7 separate regions of the Mus musculus genome follow, and regions 1, 2, 3, 5, 6 and 7 are each reported to be linked to region 4. The links are microRNA targets in miRTarBase. Many come from high-throughput screens and were not tested one by one. Region 4 holds a microRNA gene; each other region holds the end of a gene's coding sequence. Distances are between the middles of the regions.
Evidence for each region. Region 4 holds the annotated microRNA mmu-miR-466q (GUGCACACACACACAUACGU, at 1,808-1,827, opposite strand). A microRNA usually pairs through its seed, bases 2 to 8, with sites in the 3' UTR of a target mRNA and lowers its output. Matches are read on the target gene's strand: a 7mer-m8 pairs with bases 2 to 8, a 7mer-A1 pairs with bases 2 to 7 and ends in A, and an 8mer does both.

Region 1: the mRNA of Uggt1 is a reported target of mmu-miR-466q. Seed matches in the 3' UTR shown: 7mer-m8 at 279-285.
Region 2: the mRNA of Dennd4b is a reported target of mmu-miR-466q. Seed matches in the 3' UTR shown: 7mer-A1 at 2,895-2,901.
Region 3: miRTarBase lists S100pbp as a target of mmu-miR-466q. Seed matches in the 3' UTR shown: 7mer-m8 at 2,673-2,679.
Region 5: miRTarBase lists Aldh1l1 as a target of mmu-miR-466q. The part of its 3' UTR that is shown has no 7-base or 8-base seed match.
Region 6: the mRNA of Btg2 is a reported target of mmu-miR-466q. Seed matches in the 3' UTR shown: 7mer-A1 at 2,650-2,656 and 8mer at 2,349-2,356.
Region 7: the mRNA of Slamf7 is a reported target of mmu-miR-466q. The part of its 3' UTR that is shown has no 7-base or 8-base seed match.

Annotation. Positions count from the first base shown.
Region 1 is chr1:36,140,982-36,145,047 of GRCm38, forward strand. Uggt1 (UDP-glucose glycoprotein glucosyltransferase 1) reads right to left here. Exons shown (of 41, transcript NM_198899.2): 41 at 1-3,270. The coding sequence ends at 3,245. It overlaps Mir6897 (microRNA 6897), which reads right to left and starts at 3,332; the gene lies at 3,271-3,332.
Region 2 is chr3:90,279,427-90,283,492 of GRCm38, reverse strand. It overlaps Dennd4b (DENN/MADD domain containing 4B), which reads right to left. Exons shown (of 28, transcript NM_001356483.1): 26 at 3,950-4,066; 27 at 3,809-3,873; 28 at 2,828-3,716. The coding sequence ends at 3,571. Among named protein-coding and RNA genes, the nearest start is that of Mir7012, 11 kb to the right of the region's middle.
Region 3 is chr4:129,147,616-129,151,678 of GRCm38, reverse strand. It overlaps S100pbp (S100P binding protein), which reads left to right. Exons shown (of 7, transcript NM_001379590.1): 7 at 588-3,677. The coding sequence ends at 729. Among named protein-coding and RNA genes, the nearest start is that of Fndc5, 13 kb to the right of the region's middle.
Region 4 is chr3:28,417,749-28,421,814 of GRCm38, reverse strand. It overlaps Mir466q (microRNA 466q), which reads right to left and starts at 1,872; the gene lies at 1,797-1,872. The region is part of intron 2 of Tnik (TRAF2 and NCK interacting kinase); the gene reads right to left.
Region 5 is chr6:90,598,214-90,602,279 of GRCm38, reverse strand. It overlaps Aldh1l1 (aldehyde dehydrogenase 1 family, member L1), which reads right to left. Exons shown (of 23, transcript NM_027406.2): 22 at 3,895-4,066; 23 at 3,109-3,393. The coding sequence ends at 3,338. Gm15756 (predicted gene 15756) reads left to right here and starts at 2,340. Exons shown (of 2, transcript NR_157234.1): 1 at 2,340-2,663.
Region 6 is chr1:134,073,676-134,077,741 of GRCm38, forward strand. Btg2 (BTG anti-proliferation factor 2) reads right to left here. Exons shown (of 2, transcript NM_007570.2): 2 at 1,190-4,028. The coding sequence ends at 3,694. Among named protein-coding and RNA genes, the nearest start is that of Btg2, 3.4 kb to the right of the region's middle.
Region 7 is chr1:171,631,643-171,635,708 of GRCm38, reverse strand. It overlaps Slamf7 (SLAM family member 7), which reads left to right. Exons shown (of 8, transcript NM_144539.5): 8 at 713-3,306. The coding sequence ends at 784. Among named protein-coding and RNA genes, the nearest start is that of Mir7683, 8.2 kb to the left of the region's middle.

The sequences.
Region 1 (4,066 bases), not on the chromosome of region 4:
CTTGAAGCATGCGGGTCTAACTAGGAAGGGTAATTTTAGAAGGGTAATTTAATGGAGGACACGCGGACAAGAGGAGTTGACTTCATACTGGTGACCAAATCTGACCAGTCCTAAACTATGCCAGTCAAGTTTGTTTCCTGTTTTTTGTTTGTTTGTTTGCTTGTTCTTTTCTTCCTTCTTTAGCACTGGGCTCTCAGCTCATCTTTCAGCAACTCAGACGAGAGCCAGGTAACATACCTGCCATGAAGTCTGCTCCTGACCAGACAGGCCCTGCACGGTGCACACATGCACGCCCCGAGACGACCATGCTCAACCAGAAATGTAGCCTCTGCCCGGGTAACAACGCCAACTATCTTATGAAACCAGCACATTACCACTCTCGACATGGGTGCATCCAGGATACTTCTAACCCAGGACTCTGGAGAGCTGTGCCCCACAGCCCCAGGTCCAGTCAAGGGCCGCTTTTCATGGATTCACATCGGCACAGTCTGACTTGTCACAGGTCACACTACCCTAGTGATTCAGAAAGGAAACACTCTACTGCTATATGACAGGAGGTCAAAGAACCATTTATTCGCAGGCCAAGAATGGCGGTGAGCTCTCCAGGAGCCTCAATAACCTGTCTGCTCAGTCACTTCCTGCTTCTTGGAGAATAGCTCATCTCTCTTTTCAGTCACAACATGCTTTTTCGTAGTGAGAATGTCAGGTGAAATCTGACAGGGACACCCTTCCAGGGCCACTTGCCGGCAGCAGCCCATTTGTGGCAGTGGCTTAGTTTGTAGAGATGATTTAATCCACAGGATGCAAGGAAGGACCAGGAAAGGGGGGGCCTGGACAGCTTTAGAAGGGTTTAGTTTAGGGTCTGGCCTAGCCAGCATCAGCTCTGAATATGACTTATGTCAGTGTAGTGACCCACGAGGGACTAAAGGGCCATAGGAGACCCATGCCTTCCTCTTCCTCAGAGGAGGCACACATAATTTGGTAAGAGAAGGACCCTGGCCACCGGGCCAGCATCTCAGAGCACTGACTATTCCTGCTCAACACTCCAGGCTCCCAGGGCACTGGGAAGACAGCTTCCGCTCACAGTCGGGCGCAGCAGCCCTGAGAGCTTAATCCAGGGTGGACATGAAGCCTGAACAAAGGCTGGCTCTTAAGCTAACTTTTAGATTTGAAAATGGGGGGGGGGGAGATATTACTTGATATATGTGTGGTAATTTTTTTATTTTTTGAAATTCATGTTGTAATATACACTGTATCAATAAATGTCAAGGGCTAGTTAAGCTAAGAAGCTATGGAACATGTTTGTCTCAAACGTATCCTCCATGGCCCTTTGTCTGGGGATGTGTGCCCCTTCCCTGACTTTATGACAAATGACAAAACACTTTGATAATCCAAGAGTCAAAATACATCGCTTGAAACAGCTGGGAAGTAATTTATTCCCAGACACCTTTCCAAGGTCAGAGGGCTCGCTACAGCCTGTCCTTGCTACCCAAGCGCCTGCAGAGGGAGAGGGAGAAAACCCTGCTGACCGACCGATGGTAGCAGCCCCCCAGCTCGTTTCTGGGGTGTCGTGAGCACCGAACTAAATGATGTTGTTTTTAGTGCTGCTCTTTGTTCTCTTATGTGGATTCCTGACCTGAGGGGACACTTGTGCTCTGCCCAGGACTCTCAGTGGGAGCTCCAGCTGACGAGGTAAGGGGGTTAATGCTGGTTCTCTGAATTCCCAATCCAGTTTTCTGTCTCTACTTATTACTTAACAATTGCCCACTCAAATCCCTAACCACGGCTCCTGTAGGCCATTCTTCCATGGTAACACACATATTACCTAGCTTGGACAGGCAAGAACTTAGTTACCCACAGTACTCATTCCTCATATTCAGTCTTTTTTTTTGGGGGGGGGGGGCTGGGGAGATACAGTACCAGACAGAAGGCCTTGGGCTTGCTAGACAAGCACTCTGTCTGCCACTGAGCCACACCCTGTGCCCAGCAACACTAACTCTCTGCTGTAGATCCCTGAGTCCTGGGCAGAGATGACACCACACACCCACACCTGTCCAGCCAGGTTAACAACACGTGGAAGGCTCCTCAGCCCAGGCTGCTCCCGAGGTGATGCTGGGCTGTGGCTGTGAACACAAAGCAGTGAAGGGTGCTGCTTCAGACAGCAGCAGTACCTTAGAACTGGACCAGACCTCGGCAAGTCTCGAAAGCCAAAGGGGACCCTCAGAGCCAAAGCACAAGGGAAAGACAGAGTGTAGGAAACCGAGTTCCAGAGACAGAGTCATTCCTGGTCACAGGTCTGAGAGCATTTGGGGGAAGAAACACCCAAAGTTATCCCCTGGGTCTGAGAGAAAACTCTACAAGGGAAAGGGCAGACAGTATGGTGCATCCAGACGGAGGCTGAGCACGCTGAGAGCGGTCACTGAGGGACTCAGGACGCCTGTGCCCAGCCAGGAAACTGATAACCAACAGCTTTTTAGAAAGTAAGAAGAAAAAGCACACATTTTCATAAATAGAAAAATTGTTTACAAAACAATTACCTGGACAGTTCACTGGGTACTAGACTGAAGAGAACGGCCCATGTTTTTGTCTTCCATCGAACACCCCAACACTCTCCACTACCTGCCATTTCTTCCAGCCTTATCCACACCACCCCGTTTCTCCTGAAGACTGATTTGCTTAGCAACTGCACTGAGCCAACCCTGAAGACACATGATTATTGGTTGGGCTCCATTAAACAACAAGCCTAGTGCTTGGGAAGGGGGGTGGGGAGGGGAAGAGACGTGAGAAGCATGTTGGCGTAGACCTTGAGGCATGGATGAAGCATCTGCCGGCCTGACCTGGTACAGGGTGGGCATCTGCACTGCAGCAAGGGCTGCAGGTAAACTGAGGTAAGGAAGAACATGGTGACCTTTCTGCCCAGCTTCTGGGCCAGCACAGCAGTGTGTGCTCTGGGCTGTGGGCACCGAAGGACTGGGCTTCTTGCAGTTGCTGCCGGCATTTCTCCCTCTGGTGAGAAGAAGAGTCCCAGAAGACCAGCCACTTGTCTTCCTCTGAGGTACAAATCCAACAGAGCCTTAGCCCCAAGGATCTAGCACCCACTAGGGTGCAGTAGTCTAAATCAATGCTCAGATCAATAGGTGTGGTACACCTGCCCAATCCGTTCATCAGCAGTCGTATCGAAAGATCAGAGAAAACAGCAGTTAGTCCAAACTGTCAAGGTGGGTTTCCCATCTTCCTCCAGAGATCATAATTCCTCATGCTTCTGAGAGCCTGGGGGAAGAACACAGACCGTGAGACTTACGTCATAAAACAGCGTGTGACACTGCCCCCAGCACAGCACTGTAGCTTCAGATGGTCTGTAGAAGCTTGGTGTTGGCTATTTCTGTATTAAGGGTTGAAAGCGAACCTAAGAGAAGAAGACATTTTTAGCTCTAAGAACTGACACGCCCTTGGGCTATACACGGCCTCCACCAGGGCAGCGCTGGCTCTCGGGGTCTCCAGCAGGGCAGAGCTGGCTCTGGGCCACACACTGCTGTGTGCAGAAATCTTCTGCACTTACACATTCTTTCTGTGAGCCAGGGCAGCTGTTCTTTGATCCTTAAACTGTTTTAAGGTTGCTGATCGGTACGTAACAGTAAAGTACATCTCTCCGTGTGTATTGCTTTTCCTGGAGTTATCTAAGATGCAGCCTCAGTAGAGGCATTCTTGCACAATGCACTTGCACTTTACCATGACTGTGTGCACATGCTATGGTGTGCATGCGTGCTCACAGCAGCTCTGTGGAGTGAGTTCTCTCCTTTGCTCTGACAAGAGACGTGGGAATGAGGACTCGTGTCATGAAGTAAGCACTTCTCCTGCTGAGCCACCTCTCTGGCCCATTGGTGCAGCATTTTCAAGGCTCCTTGTAAGAGACCTGCTGCTTTTAAAGCAAGGCTTTCCAGACACATGGACAGTTTCGGCAAGGCTCACTCACCAGTCTCACCCCTGCCCCCTAATGCATTGCACTACCACTCCACCTGTATTTTTTTGACATATCAGATATTAATGGTGACTCTAATTTCATCAC
Region 2 (4,066 bases), 62 Mb from region 4:
CAACCAGGCCTAAAAAAATTAAAGAATTGTTCCTTAAATGACAAACATCACAGGCTATGGTGACCCAGGACTTTAATCCTATCAGGAGGCGGAACCAAGAAGATCTCTGAGAGTTCAAGACCAGCCTGGTCTATAAATTGACTGCCAGGGCTGTTATACAGAGAAACCTTATCTCAAAAAACAAACAAACAAGAAAGATGAATTAGCCTCACCCCCATTATTTGCACATGAACACAAGCTGAGACACAGCAGAACTCGTCTGACTTGCAATAGACAAAGATACACTTCAAATCTTTTACCCTTCAGCCTGTATTCGCCAAAATCTGGGAAGAGAAGTTGAGTCAGGTAATTTGGCCATATCTTAGCCCTCAATACAGCTCTCTAGGCCTCAGTTTGCCTGATAGCTAAGGAATTCTGGAGTTTTCTTTGGAGGACTTTTAACTCCAGTACTTGGTGGTAGAAGCAGTATTATCAAAAATTCAAGGTCATTTTGACCATGTTGCAAGTTTCAGGCCAGCCTGGGTCCAGGAAAGAGTACTCTAGACCAGTAAGACTCTGTACTCTTCTAGGGGAGGGGCTGAGATCTAAAATTGTCTTGCTATAGTCCAGTGCAGTACTAAGCATACTATAAACAGAAACTTACTTTAAGAGGACACATGAAAACTGGAGATAGCCCAGAGTGGTGGCGCACACCTTAAATCCCAGCACTAGGGAGGCAGAGGCAGGCGGATTTCTGAGTTCAAGGCCAGCCTGATCTACAGTGTGAGTTCCAGGACAGCTAGGGAAAACCTGTCTTGAAAAACAAAACAAAACAAAACAAAACAAAAAAACAAAAAAAACAAAAAAAAAAAAAAAAGAAAGAAAGAAAAGAAAACTGGAGCTATAGTTCAGTGGTAGAGTATTTGCATAGTGTTCAGGAGGCCTCTGGACTCGAACTCTACTATGGGGGAAAAAGTAGAACAGCTGGGATGTAGCTCAGGTTTAGAATAGGGTGAAAATGTCTGTCTAGTATATTTAAGATCCTAGAGCTGATCACCAGCAAAATACAGACACACACACACACACACACACACACACACACACACACACAATGTCACCTGATCAGAAACTGGATGCAATAAAGAGTAAGACAGAATCCCCACACCCATCCCTCCTCTCTCCTCTCCCCATTCACAGTGTTTCTCTGTGTAGCTCTGGTTGTCCTGGAACTCAGTTTATAGATTAAACTGGTCTGGAACTCACAGAGATTGCCCCTGTGTCTGGCTCCTGAGAACTGGAATTAAAGGGGTGTACCACCACCTCCTGGCAAAAGAGAATGTCTGAAATCCCTTGATTTCCTTCTTTACACCTTTGGGATACTGGAAAAGCATCCTCAGGACATGATGGAAAAGATTCTTTGGCTTCAAGAGCCTAACAATTAGAAATATTTATATTTATTTTCAAAGACAGGGTCTCACGGAAGCCCTGGCTAGCCTGAATTCTCTATATAGAGCAAGCTGGCCTAGAACTCAGATAACCTGCCTGTAACTGAGACTAATGGGGCGTGTGCCACCACCCCTAGCCAGAAATCTTTTTTTGTTTGTTTGTTTTTGTTTTGTTTTTCGAGACAGGGTTTCTCTGTGTAGGCCTGGCTGTCCTGGAACTCACGCTGTAGATCATGCTGGCCTCGAACTCAGAAATCCACCTGCCTCTGCCTCCCGAATGATGGGAATAAAGGTGTGCGCCACCATGCCTGGCTACCCCAAGACACTTGTATTTTTAGCTAATTCCCTGTGGTAATTGGTTTTTGTAGTTCTGCTAGAAGTTGTTTCCTGTATTTATTTCATTATACAGGAAAAAGAAAGAAAATTCCAAATGGGTCTGAGATTAGAAAAATAATGCGGGGGGGGGGGGGGTATTGGACTGACAGCTCAGCAGTTAAAAGTGCTCACTGGTTTCTCTTGACTCAAGTTTGGTTCTCAGCACCCACATCGGGCAGTTCACAACTGCCTGTAACTCCATCTCTAAGGGATCCAACACCCTGTCTGACCACTGTGCTACCTGCACATATGTGACACACACATACACATTGCTTGTTTTTTAAGGATTGGAAGGCTGGAGAGATCTAGCTCAGCAGTTAAAAGCACTTGTTCCTCCTGCAGAGGACCTGGGTGCTGTTCCTAGCATCTACACAGTGACTCTAGTTCAGGAATATCCAATACCCTCTTCTGGCCTCTGTGGGTACTGCTTACATGTAGTGCATATGTATACTCTAAACACACACACACACACACACACACACACACACACACACCACATATATACACATAAAATAGTCTAAAAAATAAAATAAAGAAAAAATGATGCCCATCTTCCTGGCATTCACACGTAGCAAGTTTAGCCCACAGTGAGGTACACTGGAGCTAGACTGACTAGAGAGCTGGGATGATCGCCATGCTTCTGAGATACAGAAGGGCCGCAGACAGCAACCAGTGAGGAGGGCTGTCATCTCCGTGAAGGTACTAAAGAAGCGGGGTCAGGGAGGGAACAGGAGGCAAGGAAATAAGGCAAAGATGAGCTCAGGGCCCCCAGAGAATGGAGCCTTTGTGTGGGGTACAGATGAGGGACAAGGGGGTGATTGTGTCGGAGGGCCGGAAGTGCCATGCAGACTGGCACTGCCATAGCCGGCACTGGCTTCATCCTTCTGCTCAGAGAACTCCCGATATATCAAGTGGCCAGGAAAAGTAGGGTATACCTGATGGTTATAAAACGTGGAAAGGCAGAAAAGAGAATGTGCAGCCAGGAAAAGTAAGGTGTCACCCCAAATCCAGAGAACAGGAGGCAGAAGAAAAAAAAGACAGAAGCAGCTTTTACTATATTTACATCCAAAAAAACTTTGCAGAGAACAATCCTTATTGCACAGGTCAAGGCCATGGATGGGAGAGGTGTTCCCCAAGGTGGAGTGGACAAGAGGATCAGGACTAGAAGAGGCACCAGTTCTTCCTAAGGGAAGCTTGGGACTCCTCTGGGTCCCAGAGCATGGCTCTCAAGGTGCTACAAATCTAATTCCCTTCTTTCTCACGCTCCTTGAGACTCCCATAAGTATAGGAGCTGTGGCCTCAGAATAAATAACTAAATAGAATACAACACTAAGATTGCCTTGGGCTCCTTTAGCAATGTCAGGGAAGAGACGTGGGGAATGAAATTCCTCCCTTCCACTCAGGGCAAAGGCTCAGGAGCTCTGAGTTTTTCCAGTTGTTTTTTAAAACAAAAACTTCTAAGTCTACCAGGGCACTGCGGATCTGAGGACACCCTGGAAAGGAGACCCTGGAATGGGATGGAGAAAGACGGAGTTGTGTCAACTTCCCTAGCTCTCCCCCACATCAGCATGAACAAACAGGGCAGGGTGGAGATAGGAGAATTGTGACTTTGGGTAACAGTGAGTCCCTCTTTCTACTATTCCCACTTGGAGCCTAGGCTGAACATCCTGTTCCCAATTCCTCTGTGAAGGGAACAGGGAGTCAGGCTATGTCTAGAATCCACTCTTCCGCACCTCTCCACTCAAGGCTGGAGAGGGGAGCTTAAGGGTCCCTAGCATTCCAGAGGTGCTCCAAAACACTTTCGGCAGTCGATGGCCTTGGGAGTGGGCATCTGTGCCCGCCGCTGCCTCAGTTCCTCCTTGCCCATGCTGCTGGCCAGCTTGTTAAAGGCAGACTTGTACTTCTTGTCGAAGGCCACTAGGATAGAGGATGGAAACCGATGCATTAGGACCTCCTTTCATACCTGGTCTCAAATCCCTTATCTCCTCAGTACCTGACTGTACCCTTACCTATATCCACGTGGTCCTTGCCCAGAGCAGCCATGGTCAGGAATAAGATCTCACGGTAGATTCCCCTGTAGTAGACATAGGAGGGGGTCAAAGAAAGGTACAAAGGACATGTCAAGGGTCACCTAGATGAGAGCGTCCTACCTCTGTAGGTGCAGGCCGGTGGGAGGGGGCCCTAGCGTCTCCAGCAGAAGCCCAACAGCTTTATGAACCTCGTTGAGTCCGACGTGGCGCAGCACTGACTCCAGTAATGCCAAGCTA
Region 3 (4,063 bases), not on the chromosome of region 4:
TAGAAGCAGGATATGGGGTAAGTGGGGTGGAGGGGGCCGCTTTGTTTCTGGGGGAATGCACCTGTTCCCAAGAGCAGGCTATTGGCTGGGTAAAAAGTTCAGCAGGAGGAACAGAACAGAATGGGTTGCTAGGTACCTGTCCACAAGATCTATAGCTCTTTGTTCTTGACTGGGGTTAGTACTTTCCCACAGAGGCCAGGACTTTGTGCCAGTGCACTTAGGGCTGACAAGGCAGTAAAGCAGTTAATGTTCAAGCAGGGTTGCTCCCAACAAGTAAGTTCCATGGAAACCCTGTCTCAAACAGACAGACAACAGCAACCATATAATCTGATCCTTACAGTCCTTAGGAGTTTTCAAGACAGGCTTGCTCTGTGTAGCCCTGGCTGTCCTGGACTCACTCTGCAGACCAGGCTGGCCTAGAACTCAGAGATCCGCCTGCCTCTGCCTCCCGAGTGCTGGGATTAAAGGTGTGTGCCACCACTGCCTGGCTAAACATAGCTTTAAAAGTAGTTGTGCTAGCTATTTCGTATACAGATGACAGTTCCAGCTGAAAACGCTTCCTGTTTTTATTCTCCTTCTCTCAATAGAAACTACGCCCGGTTCCGACAGAGGCCTCTGCAGAGGTACAGTCTGAGTCAGTGGGTTGACAGAAACAAGCGGAGCCACCATCGGTTCCAGCGTCTCCCAGACTTCTCCTACAGTCCATATGTCTCATCCCATCAACAGTGACAGTTCCTGCCAAGGGTCCCGTCCAGAGCAGCATCACATTTTCCTCTGCTATTTTTGTTTGTATATTTTGAGTTTTATTTCACAAGATTTTTATTTAAAGAATTTGTCACCTTTTGGAAATGCCCATTACTGTCTTGAATTTTTGTTTTTTAATGAGGGCCACCCCCCACCCCTGATTTGTATGTCTGTCTGGTGAATATGTTTCAGCAGTGTTAAGTATTGTTTTTCTGTTTGTTCACTGTTGTTGTTGTTGTTGCTGTTTTTAAATTTTAAATGAAGGTAATTCTCTTTTGAAGGCCTGCATTAAGTCAGAACAGTCAGGCTTTGAGTAAAATACCAGCTGTAAGGGCAGGCAGACTCACCTTCCAGTCTACTGTAAGGAAGAGGCTGTTTTGCAAGCTAAGAGCCGGTATTATTATTGTTGACTTGTGAATAGATAGAAGTCACTTTTAACGACCCCTCTTTTTAAATTTGAGTTTCTTGAATACTTGTCAGTATTTTAATGTTGCCAATTCAGTACATTTGAAATAGGAGAAGGAGAAAAGTCCTGTTGAAGGGCTAGATTAAAAGTGTAAATCCTCTCCTTTCTGTACCTATTAGCTGCCTTTTTAAAAAATTATTAGTGGCTTTTTTCACTCTCTATTAGATATATTTCGTTCATAATGTTTGAAATCTTACACATCTTAACTGACAGAAGACAGCTGAATAACCCTTGTTCAATACTCTGTGGTCTTGTGACTGGTTGGTTTCTCTGCCCCATTGTTTTCTTTTCCTTTTCCCACTCCCAGTGACCGGTTAGTCCTGAAGCTTTGCAGTAAGTGTTCTTATGTCCTGTTAGACTGAGACATGGCTCTCAGGTGCCCTCTGTCTGCTGAAGAAATCCTGTCAGAATCCTGACTGTCGTTAGGCCGGCACAGAATCCTGACTGTTGTTAGGCCAGCACAATTGGGATGTCTAGGAATCTTCAGTTCTGTCTTCGGAACCCGAGTTTATGTGTTGCTGCTGTTCAAGGAACCTTCGTCCTATGAAATCCTTGGGAGAGTCACTGGCCTCTCCCGTTGGTTACAGGTACCCTTATACCCTGGATGTTAGCGTTGTAGTTGTAGCATTGGGTCCATTGTTTCACATTAGTGTTTGAGCATCTTGGGAAAGTACGATTGAGCCCGTGCACCGCACCACCACCATGCACCGCGTAAGGTGTGGTGTTCCAACCAAAGCGCTAGGCTCTGTGTACTGTCTTAATGGATGTCCTAAAAGATCTGTATTTCTTACAGGCAGCTCTAGAGATCATTCTGAGAGGGTTTACAATATGACACTCCTGCTGCTGCAGTCACTGTGGGAGTGATTCATAGTTGCCTAGCCTCTGTCTCATTTTATATGTGGCTAACCCACCCTGAATAGTCTACTCTGCCTCAGAAAAATGATCTTTTTGTTCTGTTTTGTTTTTGCTTTTCAAGACAGGGTTTCTTTGTATACTCCTGGCTGTCCTGGAACTCGCTCTTAGACTGGGCTGGCCTTAACTCACAGAGCTCTGCCTACCTTGCCTTCTCACTGCTGGGAGTAAAAGGATGAATCACCATTGTTGGACTGAAAAAGTGACTGTGATTAGGAAAATCTTGATTTTGTTTGTTTTGTTTTGTTTTGTTTTCAAGCCTTTAATAGGTTTGGATAAATGTTCCCAAGTGTGTGTTAGTTTTATCTAGTGAAAGTTTTTTCTTCTTTCCTTCCTTTTTTGCGGCAGGGTCTCCTATAAAGCCTAGGCTAGCCATCAACACACTATTTAACCCAAGATGGTCTTGCACTTCTGATTTTTCTCTCCCTCCAGCCCCTCACCCCTCAGACAGGTTTTTTTTTTATGTAGCCCTCCTGTCTGGGTAGACCAGGCTGGCCTCAGGACTCACAGAGATTCACCTGCCTCTGCCTTCTTAGTGCTGGGATTAAAGGTGTGCACCACCACTCCCTGCTTTTGACATCCCCCCCCCCGCCCCACCCGCCACCCCCAGAAAGACTTTTCTATTTCTTAGTTATTTGGTTTAGATTCTGGGACCAGACTTTGAAAGGCAGTAGTCCAGTCACCTCTCTTGATGGGCACGCTTGTTGTTGACCTCAGTTGACTTGTCCAAGATGCTGTGAGTTAGCCTGTTAGACTGAGATATGCCAAACAACCCACCTATGGGACCAAAACAAAGTGCAGATTAGCTACCGCTGGAGTAGCTAGCATTGGGGCTGAATGGTTCCCACGGGGAGCCCAGGGAGTGGAGGGACAGCAAAGCTCCTGCTCTCCTGCTACCAGGAGGAATTAAGACTGAATGTATAATGGGAGTGCTGCCTCTGTCAGAGCAGATGAGTGACAGGTTAACTAGAAAATGTGACAATCACATTTCCTCTAGCGCAGATAATTCTGTTTTTCCAAAGTGTTAGCAGCTAATTAAATCTGGTGGACTGGGGGAGGAGAGAGCTGTTCTGTACTGGTTAACATGGTATTCTTTAAGGAGAAAAAAGCCAAAGAAAACTCATCCGGCATGTTAGCCTTAAAGATGGTACTGGCCAGAAGCCGGGGCTTAATCTCTTCAGAGCTGCATATCTCTTATGTTTGGGTTTGGCCTCTAAGTCTTGTAGATTAAATTAATTCTTGCTGTATTTTTAAATTTGAGTAAGGGTTATGTGCATTTAACTGTGTTCCTGTCTTTTATCATCCCTGGGGACGTTCTTACCATAGGGGTCTTGACAAAGCAAAGCTAAAATGTGTTGTTGATAAATAGTTCCTGTGTAGGTCAGGAGCCGAAATAACAATAGCTCTGCAGCTCATCGGGCTCTGATTTACTCGAGTTGTTGTCGGGGTCGATTATGAAACTGAAGTTTGGTGCCTCCTTTTTTATCATGTTTTTCCCCTTGTAGCAGTTGTGTTTAATGTCATTAAAAAGAAATAAAAGTTCTCGTCAGTGGCATATGTACTGTGGCCGTCTGTTCCGGGCTTTGGAGGAGCACTCTCTGCCTTCCTCTGCGTAGGTCGCTCTGCTTGGGAGGGTGGCGGCATTTAGTAGAATATGGTTCTGGGAAGGAGAAAGTGCTTGCTCCCTGTTCTTTTGAGGGTAAATTACAGTGCTGGGGAAGGCGTTCCAGCAGTTAAGAAATGTTGCAATTGATTAGGATTTGCAGCTACATATGGTGCATGTCAGGAGCCTGACATTGGGAGAGCCTGAAATATCCCTGTGCAGAGGGCGGGGGAGACCAGGCAGCCGGTAGCGGGCGGGAGGGCAGTGCCTTGCATTCCTTCCCTTCCCATGGATCCATGGCCGGCCACTGTGTATGTTTAGGAAACCATGCGGTTCCA
Region 4 (4,066 bases):
CTTTCATTTGGGTGACCAACAGTGAATCTCTTGAGCATCAGGACAAATTCTAAACAATGAAAATCCCCCCACGCAACCCCCCAAAAAACAATAACAACAACTTAGCATTTTAGAAGCAAAAGGTCTCATTCGTGTGGATTTTCATTAAAGAGTAAAAGAAAAGATCTAAAGCCACAGGAAACTGGAAAGACAAATCAATGGGGGAAATAAGCTCCTGGTGGTCAGGGTGAAGGTGCGTCCCAGCAACGCTGACTGAGCTTTTGCAAAGACAATGTTTGTGTGCTCTGCGTCCTAGTGGCCAGATGTCTTAGCCAATGGTGATGGGAACTGACTAGACCAATCCAGCAGGGCCAATCCAGAGGAGAGACTTGGCAGGAGACTTTGTGTTTTAAGGTGGCTCCTCCAGTGTGAATTTAGGGAAAATATTCAAAGGATCTGTGGCCACTCTCAGATGTTTGCTTTAAAGGGGGCACTTGTGGGGCTAGCAGGATGGCTCAGAATTAAAAGCACACACTGTTCCTACAGAAGACACTAATCTGGTTCCTAGCACCAGTATGATAGCTCAGCCCATCTGTAAATCTAGATAGACTGAGACTGACTCCCACCCACAGTCACCTAGCACACAAATGATGCACAGACATGTATGCAGGTAAAACAGCCATACACATGAAATAAAAATAAATACATCACATTAAAGGGAAAAAAGGGAGAGGAGAGAGAGAGAGAGAGAGGAGGGATGGTTGTCTCAAAAGAATTAAGACCATACTTAAACCACCCTTTACCTGTTTCCTAAGCTTATTCTGTCTTTCATTCTTTTCTGTTAATTGTATCGGGTGAGGGGCTAATGAGAGCTAGCTGTTACTAGCTGAGTGTGCTCTGCTGTCGTTTGGATGGGGTTTTCCCCATTGCAGCTCTGAGCAGAGCACCTGGTAGGCTCCTCGTCATATTTGCCCTAGCCAAGCAAGCCAGGAGCTCAAGGAAACACCTCTTAAGTGTTTCCCAGTTTGGAGGTTGCACACACATCCCATGTTTGGCTGCTATTATAGGCCAGAAGTTCCTAACACAGTTTGACTAAAATACATCCACTCTTTTCATTTGATGTAGATCTAACCTAACTTGTGCAAAAAATACTTATGCAAAGATACACAGTGATGGCAAATGAAATGCTTCTGTTGTTGTAGTTCTTCTTGTGCTCCTGCAGTACCAAATCTCGGCCACGAGCCACTTGTGAAATTCTGCCTTCTTCATTTCTAACCCTGTGAATAATGTCATTCATCCTGGAATGGAGTGATGGGTTACGGAAGGACAGATCAGCGTGACCTCTCTAGTGACTACAAGCCACTACAATTGTCCTCAGAGATGCCCGAGGTCCTCTGAGTCTCTGGAGCCCTTTTTATATATTAATACAATGACATCAAATGCTATTTTCGCTCTTGCCCCACAGTTGTACAGTGGAGTTTCCCAGAGGCTGCATGCCACAAGATGATGTCATCACTGCGGCTAATGGACATTGTGTTATGCATTAGTAATATTGTGCTTTAAAAAGTCCTTATTGTATTTAATGAAATCACATTTATTGGCACTATAATAAATGCTGGTAGACAATCCATCCAAACATACGGTTCTTGCACTCTTCAGTAGTATTAAGAATATAAAGCACACCTATAAGGCAGCTCAGAGGGTAAGGGTGCTTGCTGCCAAGCCTGACAACCTGAGATCAGTCTCTGGGCACTACTGGGTAAAGGAGAAAATTGACTCCTACGAGTTGTCCTATTATCTCCAGAGATGAGATATGGCATGCATGGGTACGTATGTGTGTGTGTGCACATATACTACACACACATACACACACACACACACACACACACACACACACTAAAGAGAAGGTAATAAGAATATAAAGGAGATTTTTAAAACTGTTTCAGGAGTAGAGGGGTCTTCCTAAGGTAGACTTTAGATAAATATGGTAGTGACTGCCTGTAATCTCAACACCCAGGATGTTAAGACAGGAGGACTGAGTTCAAGACCAGGCTAGACTAGAGACCCCTGTTTCAAGCATGGGAAGGAGTTAAAAATAAAGAATTTCACTAAATTCCTTCAGTTTTCTGCATGAAAATTTCTCAGCTCTTTTTTTTTTGCTCCACCCCACTGTTAAGCACTCTCTTGTGATATATACATTTAATACTTCAATAAAGTTTTATTTGCACCTATTGCAAACCCCACCTTACCCCCCAGATAGTAGTAAAGTCTACTAGTAGTATACCCATGTGGACTCAGCTGAGTAGAATCCAGATGCCACATTCTTCAGAAGGGTTTTCACAGCCCAGAGCAAAAAGTATCCAATTGTCTATTTTCTTCAAGGAATATACCGAGGCTTTCTGAAGCATTTATACTACCTAGTCACTTCGGATCCTACTCTGTTTCTCCAAATATGAATTTCATGTCAGCTTAAACCTAACATGGCTCTCAAACGCCAGTTTTCACCCACTACTTCCACTCATTAACATACTTGTGGTGAGCACCTAATAAAAAGAGAAATGGCAAACTCTAGTCACAAATATAAAACACAAAGCAAACTCGAGAAAAGTTTTTGTATATTTTTACAACTCGGGGAATTTTTCCTCACCCAAATCTAATTACCGGGAGCCTAGGAAGGAAAGTTCACATCATAATGTATGATGAGAAGCGTTTCCTCTAATTATACAAACATGATACAAATAGTTCTGTGCAAAGTGCTTCACTGGATAAATATTAGCATGCCATTATCATCGTTCACTGACTAATCTGGGCACTGGCACTTCTCTGCAGACTTCGTAAAAAACAAGGGAAGAGGAAACGAGGTCATGAGTGAGTCCTGCTGCACACAGGAGCACCCTATGTATCTCCATCTCAACTCTCTAATCAGATGAGAAGCATGCATGCTGCCCATGGCTTCTCGATGAAGATACTGATGCTCAGAAGAGGTCGGTACTTTGTTCAAGACTGAAAGAGAAAACTGAAGCTGGAGCCCATCCCATGCCTGTCTCTGTCTACTCTGGTGCCCGCTTTCCAGCAATCTTTTTTCTTAAGAACCCTCACCCGAGGAAGCATGTTCCAATACCAGTTGACCCAGAAATCAGAGTTGTGAAGGCTTCTTCTGGCGCTGTTTTGCAGCACTTGTGTGTTTTCAACAGGCATTCTTAGTGGACCAACAGAACAAACGATACTGCAGTTAGCAGTTGGCAGAGCACTGTGACAAATGATACACTCTTAAAAGAAATTAGAGAGCAGAATCTACAGTTAACATTGCTTTGTCTCGAGACCAGCTCCCCTGTACACCATTCTGATATGCAAAAGCCAAGCTGTGTATAATGTCCCTTGTATGTATATTTCCAGGGCTGTCCATTTGGTATTGGATAAGCAATTTCTCCTGTTCTCCGCATTTTGTAGGTCTTTGTGTAGGATGGAGGGCTTTCCACTGCCTACTTCAGCATGTCTAGTGTTGCCCTTGTTCAGCTCATGTTTAGATGTTATGGATATAGTTTCTAACTGAATAGGTTGTATTTATGTTTTTAGAGATATACCTACCTACCTACATACATACATACATTCCTAATATGTGTGTATGTGTGTAACAATAAATAATGATAAAAGAGGCGATGAGTTTGAAAGAGCACAAGGCATTGTGGGAGGGTTTGGAGGGAGGAAGGGGATAATGATGTAATTATATTATAATCTCAAAAAGAGGGTAATTTTTTTGAAATGCTTATATATATATATATATATATATATATATATATATATATATATATCCATGGGACATTCATGGGTCCAAGTCAAACTTCTGCACTCTGGGCTGTTGAGGAAGGGCAGGGTCTGCGACACCGACATGCATTTCTATGCCTAAACATAACTCCAGGTCAAATAATGGTAGGCATATCATTGTATATCTGTTATGACCAAACTGGAATTTTTGAAAAGTCTAGAAGGTGATGCATCAAAATGATGAGCCTCAAAAAATTAACTCTGGGCAGTATAATTTCCAACTACAAGATCTTTTTGTAATTGTCCTACTTGTTCCAAAATT
Region 5 (4,066 bases), not on the chromosome of region 4:
TTGCTGTTTTCAGGTAAGAAACGGAATCTTGCCCACCAGAAAGAGTCGGGCAGTGCCAGAGTCAGAAGGCTGGGCATGCTTCTGATGCATTAGCAAGCCTCTCTCTCCCTACAGGTCCTGAGCTGACACTGGACTGACTTTCAGAGACAACGACTTACAGCACTTGTCAGTGTGGACTCTGCGGTGGCCTCAGCACTGTTGCTGTTCTGTCTGGAGGAGGACGGTGGGAGCCAGGAGCAGCTGATCGGCCTGTGGGGCCACAGTGGGGACAGCTTGCATGTAAGTTCTGCTGCCGTCTGCAGACCTGATTTGCTGCAGTCCTCAGGGACAGCACCCAGGGAGCTTAAAACCCCCTCCTCTCAGGACTGACCTGATGCCTTGAGGAAACTGACCTGATGCTAAAGATAGGTTTAGCTGACTGCACACGAGGAGGAGCTGGCAAGGGGCGGGGGTTATCCCAGGGCAGCTGGGAGAGCCAGAGCACAGGGTCTCCTCACAGGACCCAAATCTTTCTCCTTGGGACCTTGCAAAGGGCCTGAATGATCTCATTGGTGGTGGTGGGGAGGGGGGCGCAGCAGATGTGAAATGAAGAAATGTCAGAACGGAGGCCAAACCTTGTGGCATATTTTAAATGTTACATGGAGCACATGCAAGATACATACAATGCGTAGAATAACAACTGCAGATTACTAACGTGTATGTGCAAACACAGGTGAAGAGGCTAGAACCCAGAGCCCCACACACCAGCATGACTGCTCCCCCACTGAGCTACCCCCCCTTTAGCTGGCTGTGGGCATGTGGTAAAGGGTGCAGACTGTGGGATGTTTCTATTTCCAGCCCAGCTGAACGTGAACCCTGGGCTCACAGACTCAGCTTGCCTTACCTGAGAATGAAAAGCCTGTGTTTAAAGGCAGAAAAATCCCTAAGCTTTACAAGATGAAAAGGTTCTGGAAAAGGAGGGAGGTGGCCGTTGGGAATGACAGAGTGGGGTTTAGTGTTACAGTGCTACATCCTTATCCTGCCTTAAAATGGGCAGTGGAAGTAAACACACATCTTTCCCTTCCACGGGCATCAGGAAGAAAGGCCGGATGTGCACCCTGCCACCCAACACACACACACACACACACACACACACACACACACACACACACACACACACACACACACAGACCAAGAACAAACCTCACAGACACCTGTAAGAAGACCTCTGAGAGGCTGCAGCCTAGGTGCAGGGAGCCCTGGGGAGCAGCCCACTTTACCCTCTATATGGAATAGAGCTTTCATGTAGAGGGCATGGTCTGGATCTCCCATTAGGAACTGGTGTCCTATAGCTGTGGCCTGAAAGTGAAGGCTTCAGAGATATTCCCAGAGACTCAGGACCCGGGTTTCTGTGTCACTTCGCATCAAGGGCTTCAAGGGTCTCTTGGTTTGGGAGGAGAAAAGGAGCTTCGTAGCAGCCGCAGGTCCCTGAGCAAGCTGGCCTCTGTGCTTCAGTGGGCTAGTCCTTCACTGGACTACAGCATGTGCAGTACAAATGTGTGGAGAGGATTTAGAAGCCTGCATGGCACGCAACATTCGACAAGCTATTGTGGTTACCATTGCTACTACCAGTGTTCACATGTGGGAGTCACACAATCTACTGCCCCATGTCATCTTGGTACTGGGATAAGGTCCAAGAGCTTTGCTGTCAGGCAATGTCACTGTGCACGTCACAGCAGAGTAAACTCTCATAATCTAGATGGTCAAGGTCACTCACTGAACATGATCTACTAGGGACATCTTGCACACACACCAGACAGATAAGGTTGCTGCAGGTATAACACTGTAACTGGTTTCAGCACACACACACACACACACACACACACACACACACACTCCACTAATGGACTAGAGAAACGGCTCAGGAGTTAAGAGCTTGCTGCTTTTGTAGGTGACCTGAGTTTGATTCCCACCACCCAAATCTGTCAGCCTTCAACTCCCTGTAACCCTGATTTGATATCTTTTATATCCTCTTCTGATCTCTTCTGGTACCTGCGTGCACGTGCACATAAACACAAACACAGAGACAAAAAAAATAATAAAATAAATATTTTTTAAAAAACCATATACACCGATTATCACTTAGTGGACACATGGCCAGTGACAGTGTCACTGTGACCACCCAGTTTCCTATTCCAACAGCCATGTGGTGGGGTTTACACGGCCCCATCACGTATACAGGATGAAGTGTTTATGTCACATCGCTTGTGACATCATACATCACATCAGTTGTGACGTCATAGGTGGTAGGAATTCTCAGATTTGCTACTCTGGAATCAATATTAGGTATGTGGCTTCTCACTGACGAAAATGTTACTCTGAGGCATGTGCCCCACTTAAGAGAAGGGCAGGGATGCGGAGGAAGTCCGGGATACTACATAGGCCTGAAATCTTTGCGACTGATCCAGGTCACTGCCTGCCTGGCCAGGGGAGTTAGAGAAGAACAGAAAGGCCTTTAAAGAATTTTGGACCAAGAGAGGCAGAGCCAAAGAAAGGTGGTAGTGGTTGGCATGCCAAGAAGAGAATGTTGGGTAAACCAAGGCAATAGCAAATCTGTTGAGATGTGGTATGTGGGACCTCCAGAATGAAGAAGGTACAGAGGAGAGGGCCTTGGGCACCCACGGGTGAGTGCATAGGAGTCAGAAGCCTTGCAGGGGCTGTGCTCCAGGCTGGGGTGGTGTAAGATAAAAAGAAATGCAGATGGTAGAAGATGGGAGTGCTGTCCAGGGAAATGTCAGGCTGGGTGGAGTCCCTGCTGTAGACCCCAGGCTACCATTGTGGCTGTCCAAGTCCACTGAGTGAGAACCCGGGTCCTGGCAGAGGAGACTGGGGTGCTTGATGGCCCAAGGCTCACTCCCCAAGTCTCATTTCCTGTTTCTGGGGCGCACCCTCTTCCACAGCCTCTTGTACCCATTCTGCTTTTGGAGGTGTGTGATGTGCATTTCCTCCTGTGTCCCACTAAGGGGTCTCGTTCTCTGAAGGCCAAGTGATGCTACATGCTCAGGACTCATGGTGACCACTGCCTCTGGTTCCATACGAGGCATCCATAGACAGAGCAGTGACACAAAGTGTAGGCGACCTCTGCTCACAATTTTTATTCATGGGGGACATGACTGCTCACTCCACTTGGAGCCACTTCTGATTGTTCAGAGGGTGTCCTGTCACCAGCAGGGGTCCAGGCCAAGAGCTCCAGCAGCTGAAAGGAGCAGTGCTGGGGACAGGAGGGTGCTAAGTCACCAGACAGGGTCAGCACTCCCTGAGGTCAACAGGGTACAGGAGAAGTATCACAGTCTTGGCTTCAGTACTCAAAAGTCACAGTCTTGATCCGCAGGTACTCATTCAGGGCCGCCTCTCCTGCAAGATAGCACCCACTGTTGGGACACCTTATGGGTGTGCAGGGGACCCCTCCGGGGAACACACCTGTGAGTAGCCTGGCTCTCTACAGATGAGAAACCAAGCCCTGAGGAAATCATGCACCCAACCCAGGCCATCCCTGTAGTAAGCTGTGGGCTCGGGCACCAGTGCAGGCAGGAGAATGATCTGGGGCAACCATTCTAGAATCTTCCCTGCTACATTGATGGTAGAGGAGGTGGTATGGATGCCCTACTGGCTATTGGCAGCCAAGAACTTATCCTCCTGTCCTCCTGTGACTAGAATATGTTATACATACATATCCTTTCCACTGCTGTCTCAGCAAGTACATCAGTCCCAAGAGTGTTCCCTCCCAGCTAGAACTGACCAGCCACCAGCTGTGTTGATCAGTGTGACACCCCAGTATTGGGGACAAGACCTGGCCCTTGGTGGCCTTTGACAGGTGTTTGCTGGAAAGCAGTCCCACAGACAGGGTTTCGTTACCCAGGTCTTTGCCAAATCCAGACTGCTTGAATCCTCCAAAAGGTGCGGCCACATCGGTCTTGTTGTATGTGTTGACAAACACAGTGCCCGCCTGCAGTTTGTCACTGACATACAGGGCCTTGTTGATATCCCGAGTGAAGACACCAGAGGCCAGGCCAAATTCTGTAGCATT
Region 6 (4,066 bases), not on the chromosome of region 4:
TCAGCTGTCTACTAGATGATGAACTGTCCTTTCAGGAGTGTGGCCTTTCAGGAAACAAGAAGATAGATGCTAACTTTGAATGGAATAACATAACAGAACTCTGAGGAGGGCAAGCACTCATAGACCCCCACCCTGCCCTTGCATCCAGAGAGAGACAAATGAAAATGGCTCTGTTCTTGTGGCAACCCAATTCTATTCGTGACCCAGATGCCTTGACTTCCCAGCCTAGGCACAGAATACAGACAGATGCACACAGCTTCCCTGACCTAACTGTGACCAAGAACACCCAGGAGAAACTGCATATCTGTATGCAAAGTCATGGAGAATGAACAGAAATAAAGAGAGTTGAAAATTTCAGAGCAGCTCACTTCTAGCCAAGAAAAACATCCAGTGTGGGTCAAAATGAACCTGTAGCTTTAGTGGGGAGCTGAGTGCATAACAAAATTCTAAAGAAAAACCAAGTCGATCATGACAGATTATTATTCTTGCATAGACCCTCTCCACGTGGTCAAAGGTAGTTATAAATGAATAATAAGCCATGGGGTCTCACCCCATGTACACTCAGAAAGAGCTGCTCTCCAGCTAACTTGTGCCACTGGTGTTCTGCCATGTGTGGCCCCAGTGCACAGACCCTGAAGCCCAAATGATCCTGTCTAACAAGGCAAGAAGAATGGCAGTTGACAAATGGTGGCCGAGGTGACAAGAGCCTCTATTCTAGGAATGGCAGATCGTCTTGCCTCAACCTGTGAAAAGGGTCGTGATCCTTTGCTTACCACCAGGGGTCTGTGAAAAGCAGGGTGTGCTTTAACTACTTTTAATATTCATGGACAATATAGCCTAATCACTAGGTATCTGCATGGGGAATGGTTCCATGAGCCTTGTAGATGCTAAAATCTCCTTTATAAAATGGCTTAGCAGTTTTTACTTGAGTATTCTCCTCCCCTCCCCACCCACATACTTTAAATCCTAAGACGGTCTGCAGTGCCTAATACATGGGAAATAGTTGTTAAACTAGACTGTTTCCAGAACAGCAAGGAAAAGTCTGCCCATGCCCAGTAAAGACACTGCCACTGTAGACCAGTGCTGCTATGCATGAACGGGGCGTGAAACAAACCATGCTCAGACGCTGGCCTCACGGGTGACCTCTGGGACGCCAGGAGGAACATCAGGGTGTGCTTGTGTATAACTGCAGTCGCATCGAGTGCACTGGTGTGCTTAGTGTGTGCCAAACCCAAGTCTTGTGTCTTTGGAACTTTCTGGATGGTTTCTTTTCTTTATATAGTTTCCAGCCGTGGTGGCTTGCTTGCGCAGATGTGGACACAGCTGGCCAGCTCTTCAATGTGCTGAATGGCCAAGAGCAAAACTATGGAACTGGCTGCAGAGTGTGCAGATAACATATTGGTTTTTGGGCTTTTTTGTTTGTTTGTTTTTTAAGAGACCTGTGACAATATTCACAAGGACAGAAGTATGGAGCCGCCTCCCAAGGAGAGGGGATGCAATGGAAGCAACCTCGTCACAAACCTAGGGTATCTTTTATAACGTCTGCATGCTGCAGACGGAGCTCAGGACAACTGATGAAGTCCACGAAACACGAAGGGGTTTGTATCTAAGAGGGCCAGTCAGCGCTATGGAATTCCACCTTCTCTACACATTACACGATCTGCTACATTTTTATTAAAAACAAAAAAGAAAGTTTACATTTGTCCATAAAGCTGTACAGTCTTCCATATAAAAGCGCTATTATACAATTAGTAACCTTTGTCTTTTCTGTCAGAATAGCTTACAAACTTACCACTATTTCTTATTTTTACTTAATAAGAGAGACAGGCCTGCTCAACAGTCCAGCTCTAGGGTTTGTCATTTCTAAAGTGAACAAGGACAGTAAAGAATTGAAGATTTAAGCATGAGACCAGGAGGCAGCTTCTAAACGGCAGGCACCTGTGTGCGGACAAAACACAAGAACCATCTGGAACAATTCACAGCTTTGTTGTAGGCCACAGCTCTCAGGTCTGTGGGCCCAGAGTTAAGGTTAAAGCAAGAGAGACGAAGCCACCTGGGAAGGCTGTGCGAAGCTGGGGCCTGTCTGCCCGGGCAGGCAGAGAGTTTGGTAAATAGCACCTTTGAGCAGAAACTGAGGAGCTGAGAAATCTAGGACACAGGATGCCATGGCGGTGGAGAGAAACGGGGAAGGGAATCCTCACCAAGGGGTGACGGGCTAGCTCTAGCTCTGTCCTTCAGTTTGAGAGACTTGAGGCCTTCTAAGAAGCCCTCATCAGTGTCACTGAACCTGAAGGAAAGCCATTTCTTCCCAGTGTTTCCCAATTTTCTCCAACCCAGAACAGTAAATATTGCACACATCTACAAATAAATTTGGATTTTACTAAGAGAGAGAGAGAGGTAACCTCCCCCACAGGTGCTCTGAGCACCAAGGAGCTAAAGCTGTGCCCAAGGTTTGACTCTTCATGGCAGCCCTACAAGAATACCAGGTAGTCCTGCAGTGCACAGGTGCCCTCCCTGTGGCCCAGGAAGATCTCCGCAAGGCCCACCAGCCAGTCAGAACCCCTAGAAGAATGGGAAGAATGGGTCCCTAAAACCTACCAGGGCATCAGGAGGGGCTGGGAGGTCCGGTCTCAGAGCATCCTGGGACTATTGCACAGTGACTGAGAACGCTTGTCCTAGGAAATAGGGCCCTCCAGGACCCAACCGCAGGAAAGGGGAAAGAAAAAATGGGGAAGGTTGCTCTTGAAGAGAAGGCAGTAAGAAAGGACTTGGAGTTCCCTGGAGCTTTGAGCCACCTCTCAAAGGAATAGTGGTAGCAGCATTCAGACTGTCGTGTGGTTCCCAAAAGGAAGGACTGGGTCCAAAAGACCTACCCCCATTGGATACTCTTTGGGTCCCAAAATTCCATTGCAAATCATCCCTAAATTATTCACTATCCACCCATACAAAGCAGCACAGAGCAAAGCAAAGGTTTTGTGCAGGTCCTCTCCATCTTAGCCCCAAAGTCTTTGCGCGCCTGCCTTACATCCCACCCTCCAAAAAATGTTTAGACAGATTCCGGGCTGGGAAGCAAGCTCTTCAGGCCCCCAAGGGTAGACTCAGAAACGAGACACGGCTTCAAGAGACTGCTTAGAACAGAAGGGACAGGAGAGGCCTTTCAGTCTGCCCCTGATCTCAGCCGAAAAACAAAAGAGAAGATTAGGCAATGTAGTATTATTTAAGATCAGGCTTGAATGCCCCTGAGTAAGAGAGGGACCAGGCATACAGGCATCCCAGCTGGGACGGTAACCCAGAGCAGACCCTGACCCCTCTCATTCACAGTTGCTAACCTTGCTCCCTTCCACCACCTCCTGGGGGGATCAGCCAAGAATCCCCTTTTACCTTGGCTAGGCCAATCCCCAACCCATTCCCCTAGGCAAACACTGGCTCACAGATGCAATCAAGAACAGTTCTCTCCAAAGGCACCTGGGGAGGCCACTTCCAAGCAGCTCCCTTTAAAGAATTGTTTTTCTTTTTCTTTTTTTTTTAAAAAAAATCTTTTGGTTTTTTTCCTCTTTTCTTAAAAAAAAAAAAAAAAAACATGTATAAATAGCTCTTCATTTTAAAAATACAGTTCCCCAGGTTGAGGTATACGGTGGCCTGTTGTCAGGGCAGCATGAGAACAGTAGAGTGCCAGGGTCGGGTGGCTCCTATCTAGCTGGAGACGGCCATCACATAGTTCTTCGAGGGGCTGCTCCTGCCCAGCATCATCTGGTTCTTGCAGGTGAGGAGCCCATAGGAGGCAGCCACCGGGGCCTCCTCATACAGGACACAGATGGAGCCATCCTCCCCGATGCGGTAAGACACTTCATAGGGATCAACCCACAGGGTCAGCTCACTGGGCAGCAGCCGGTGCAGCTGGGGCTGGCTGAGTCCAATCTGGCTGGCCACCTTGCTGATGATGGGGTCCATCTTGTGGTTGATACGGATACAGCGATAGCCAGAACCTTTGGATGGTTTTTCTGGAAACCAGTGGTGTTTGTAATGATCTGTGGAAAAAAACAAGAGGAAGATGCGCCGTTAGAAA
Region 7 (4,066 bases), not on the chromosome of region 4:
GTGGCACACTTGTGAATTAACTCTAAGACTGCATGGTTTGCTAAGGATGGAGAAAGATAAAAAAACAAAAAACAAAAAACATTTCACTTGGAGAATAATCTCTCTAAGGTAAAAGTAAACAGGAGGCCCTTGCATGGAGGAGCTATGGGTTGGGCACCTTTAGAAAGAGTGTCTGGGATGAAACGGTTATCACAGGTGACAGGGTGGGCTTTTGGGGTCCCACTTGGGGTTTAATAATAAATACATCTGCATAGTATAAGGCTGTTAGCCTGTTTGCTGGGGCAGTTCCTCAGTTAGCCCATCAGATCAACCCACCTTCCATGTGACTCTCTCTTTCTCACTTCGCTCTACTTCCCTGACCTGTTCCTGATCTGCTCCCATCCCTCTGCCCCAGCTCCAGCCTCCAGCTCTTTATTCCTCAGCTTGTATCTAGAGCAACAATGCTATTAGCATAGTCGGAGATATTCCGCTCTCCTGACAGCAGCTTGCCTCTCTTTGGGGGCAGGTGAAGAAGCTGCAAACATTTACATATCCTGCCAGTCTGGCACCACTCTGCAGAGCAATTGACAGTTGAGGATGGGGGAAGGGGGGGCACACACCTTCATAGCCAGCTGATATCTTGTGTGGGCGGGTGGATTATCCCAAAACAGTCTTCTGTGAGGGATCCAGAACTCTGCCCATGTTCAGTGTTTTTCTCCATGTCTGCCTGCAGGTAAAGAGTCCCAGCTCCCTGCCTGCAAAGCCACTCGTGCCAAGGTCATTAAGCTTTGAAAATGTTATCTAGATGACAGCACTCCGTCCTCTCCAGAAAAAAACAAAACAAAACAAAACTGCAAAACAAACAAAACCTCACCATTCTGAGCAGAAATGAAAACTTCTGTCAAAGACTGAATGTAAATGTCTCCCCGCCAGACCCACATGTTTGCATCCAGACAGAGAAGTTCAGGCTCAAGGGCTTTCAGGGTACAATGACTCTTGGGGACTGGGATACAGCCCATTCAGACATTCTGACTAAGAATCTCTCTATGCCCATCCTGTCTCCGGTAATGATGAATGAGGCTGTGCTCATAGACAGTGGACTAATTTGTCTGATGAAGAAATTTTTGACAAAGCACAGCATTTGGCTGTGGCACAGCCATGTTCGCTGTTTTTATTCACATTTATAGCTGTATGTAAATAATCTCAATCATTCAGTTCCCAGATAAAAGACACATAACCTTTTATATTTATTATAAGCCTTTATAGACTAGAGCTGGGCAGATATCTACCCTCTAAGCTATTTTTGCCTACTTCCCTATCAATAACCCCAAGATATAATTTGCCATGTTCCATCTAGGCTGCTCTTACTCCAATTGGCCCAGCCCTTATGGCCATATTTTCATGATTCCCCAACACAATGGTGTCTTCTCTCTCCACCGTCTCTCCTCATGAACCTCCTGCCTCAGATCCCAAGCCTGGGAACCAAAACCTCACCTCCCTCTCTTCTGCCCTGCTATAGGCTGCCGACATCTTTATTCACCCAGTAGTTTTAAATTAAGGAGCAGGGAAACATGGTATCACTTTGTGTAGGTGAGGATTCTCTAGTCCCAGAGGGCAACCAGACCTTGGGGACCAGTGACAAGTATTACAATACATAGCAACAGACCAAACCTCAGCAGAACTCAAAACAAAGAAAAGGAACAGGAAGATGGGAAAAGCATGCAGGTTGATAGACAGCATGAAGGGTTTTCAAATGGGTTTTTCAGCTTCGACTGTAATGGTTAAAGGGATGAGCCCAGACTGTGCCCTAGGACAAGAGAAAGGGGACACTGAGAGCTAAACCCTGTCTTTCAAAAACCCTATTCAAAAAAGCTTTCATTTAAAAGAAAGAATGCCTGAACACAGAGTGTCCCACATCGCACATCAGACTGTGGAAGTGTTTCTCTGGGTTCTCACGGTTCTCAGAGGCTGCTGGAGCCCTGACCCAAGCAGGTATGGCTCCATCCTGGAGTGACAGCAGAACTCAGCAATGTCCACACGTGCAGAATGTAAACTCTGGGGAGCCACTGAAGCTTGCACTAAGGTTCCAGGGGAGGAAAACCAGGCAACGTGTATCGAGGTTGGGCTTTCTGAATGGACCTGCCTTGTAAGCCTGCATAAAACTATGAAGGCAAAGCCTAACTTGCAGTTTAGACTCCAGGATGCTGGAGCTGCCTAAAACATAAAGGATGCTGGAGCTGCCCAGAACATAAAGCATCTACTAAGAAAATTTTCAGGCACTGAAAACACCCGAGAAAGAGGCCACGTGTGGTTTTGGTTGGAAGGTCATGGAAACAGGCCTCCTCAAACCCATTGGAACATACATGATGATACCATGTACCCAAGATGCCAGATACGGAGCTTCAAGGCTTATACCTCTCTGCTGAGTTTTCTCCTATCTTTGGCTCTTTCTTTGCCACGCCCCATCCCTCCCTTTTGGAATGTGAATGTTTCCTCTGCCATTGTGCATTGAAAGTATGTGAGTTTTCTATTTTTTAAGAGCTCACAACTAGGACTTTGCCTTACATCTCATAAAAGACATTGGACATTGAACTGTTATGGCTAGGGACTCTTGAAGTTAGATGGAATGTGTTTTGCATTGTGTGATGACCGTAGGCATATTGAGCCAAGACCTGTGAGCCAAGACGGGAGTGTTATGGATTGAGTCGAAAAGATTCAAGGTTGCGGGCTTGTGTGGTTCAACACTTGGTGTTATTTAAGGGTGCTGTAGACCCTATAGAAGATAGAGTCTGTCTGCAGACGGTGAGTCTCCAGGAGGCAGGCCTAGAAAGTGACAGTCACTCCTGGCTCTGGGCAAGCCTTCTGCTCCACCTCAGGCAGAATCCTGTCCACCATGTTATGAAGAAGCAGACATTGCAAACTCCCTCCAACACAGGCCAAGCCCCTAAAGCCGCCATGCCTCTGATGACAATGGATTATAACCTCTAGAACTCAAAATCGAAAGCAGGCCCTTCCCCTGTAAGTTGCTCCTGCCAGGATTTTGGCAGTGTGGTAGCTGATACCACTTCCTTCCAGAATAAGCTATTCTCAGCCTCTTTGGACTCTGAGGTTCATCGTCCAATTGCTGAGAACTCTCCTCAAACCCAGAATCTGTATTCCTTTCTGCCAGTGTGACTGAATCTGTCAGTTAGCCCAGAGAAAATGACTGGGAGATGCCTGAAATTGCTCCAAATAAGTCTATTAATTTATTAATGGAACCAGCAGCTATGAGCCAGGTGCTGTGTTACACTTTCATGGATTGTTGCAATACACTCACTCTTGCTTGATATCTCATGAACCACTTTATAGGGCGCCACAGAAATACTAACTACGGAGTCCCAGAAGGGTATGTAGGTACCAATGGCCAAAATGCACAAGGACAGAAAATCCAAACATACACCTATGTTTGTCTGGTACCATTTGAGGTCCTTTAAAGCAGATGATGGAGGACAAGGACCCCTCATCTGGACTTCAACTATACCTACATGCTCCAAGGGAACCGTGTACGCCCTGAGCCTACAGAGGAGTCCATCTTTAAAAATAGAGAAATAGCCTGCATACAAATTTTTGATCTAGTCTAAGACCTAGCATCACAGATAGAGTCTGGGGTTTGATGGCTTGAAAACCTTTACAGTTGTGTTTGTTTGTTTGTTTGTTTGTTCCCAATGAGTCTTTATTGAGAACCTCTACTAGGTTAGTCTTCTAGGTAAAACAGACATATATCCTCCCCCAAAAAATCTTATTTTCTTTTTCTAGTGTCATGGAAGAGACATGGGAACAGGTAGAGTAAGGGTGTGTGTGTGTGTGTGTGTGTGTGTGTGTGTGTGTGTGTGTGTGTGTGTGTGTGTATTTGATGTGCTCCCAGAACAAGAACTACATGTCTTCATGAGAATGCTGAAAGGGAACTAAGGTTCCAGGGTTGAGGGATATGAAATCAAGGAGACAAATCTATGTTTAAAAGAGAAGAAGCCAAGATGCTGTCTTGAGCTGATGGGAGGGGAAGTGAAAGCTAAAAATAGGATGTATTCCCCAACACGTGGCAACTCTG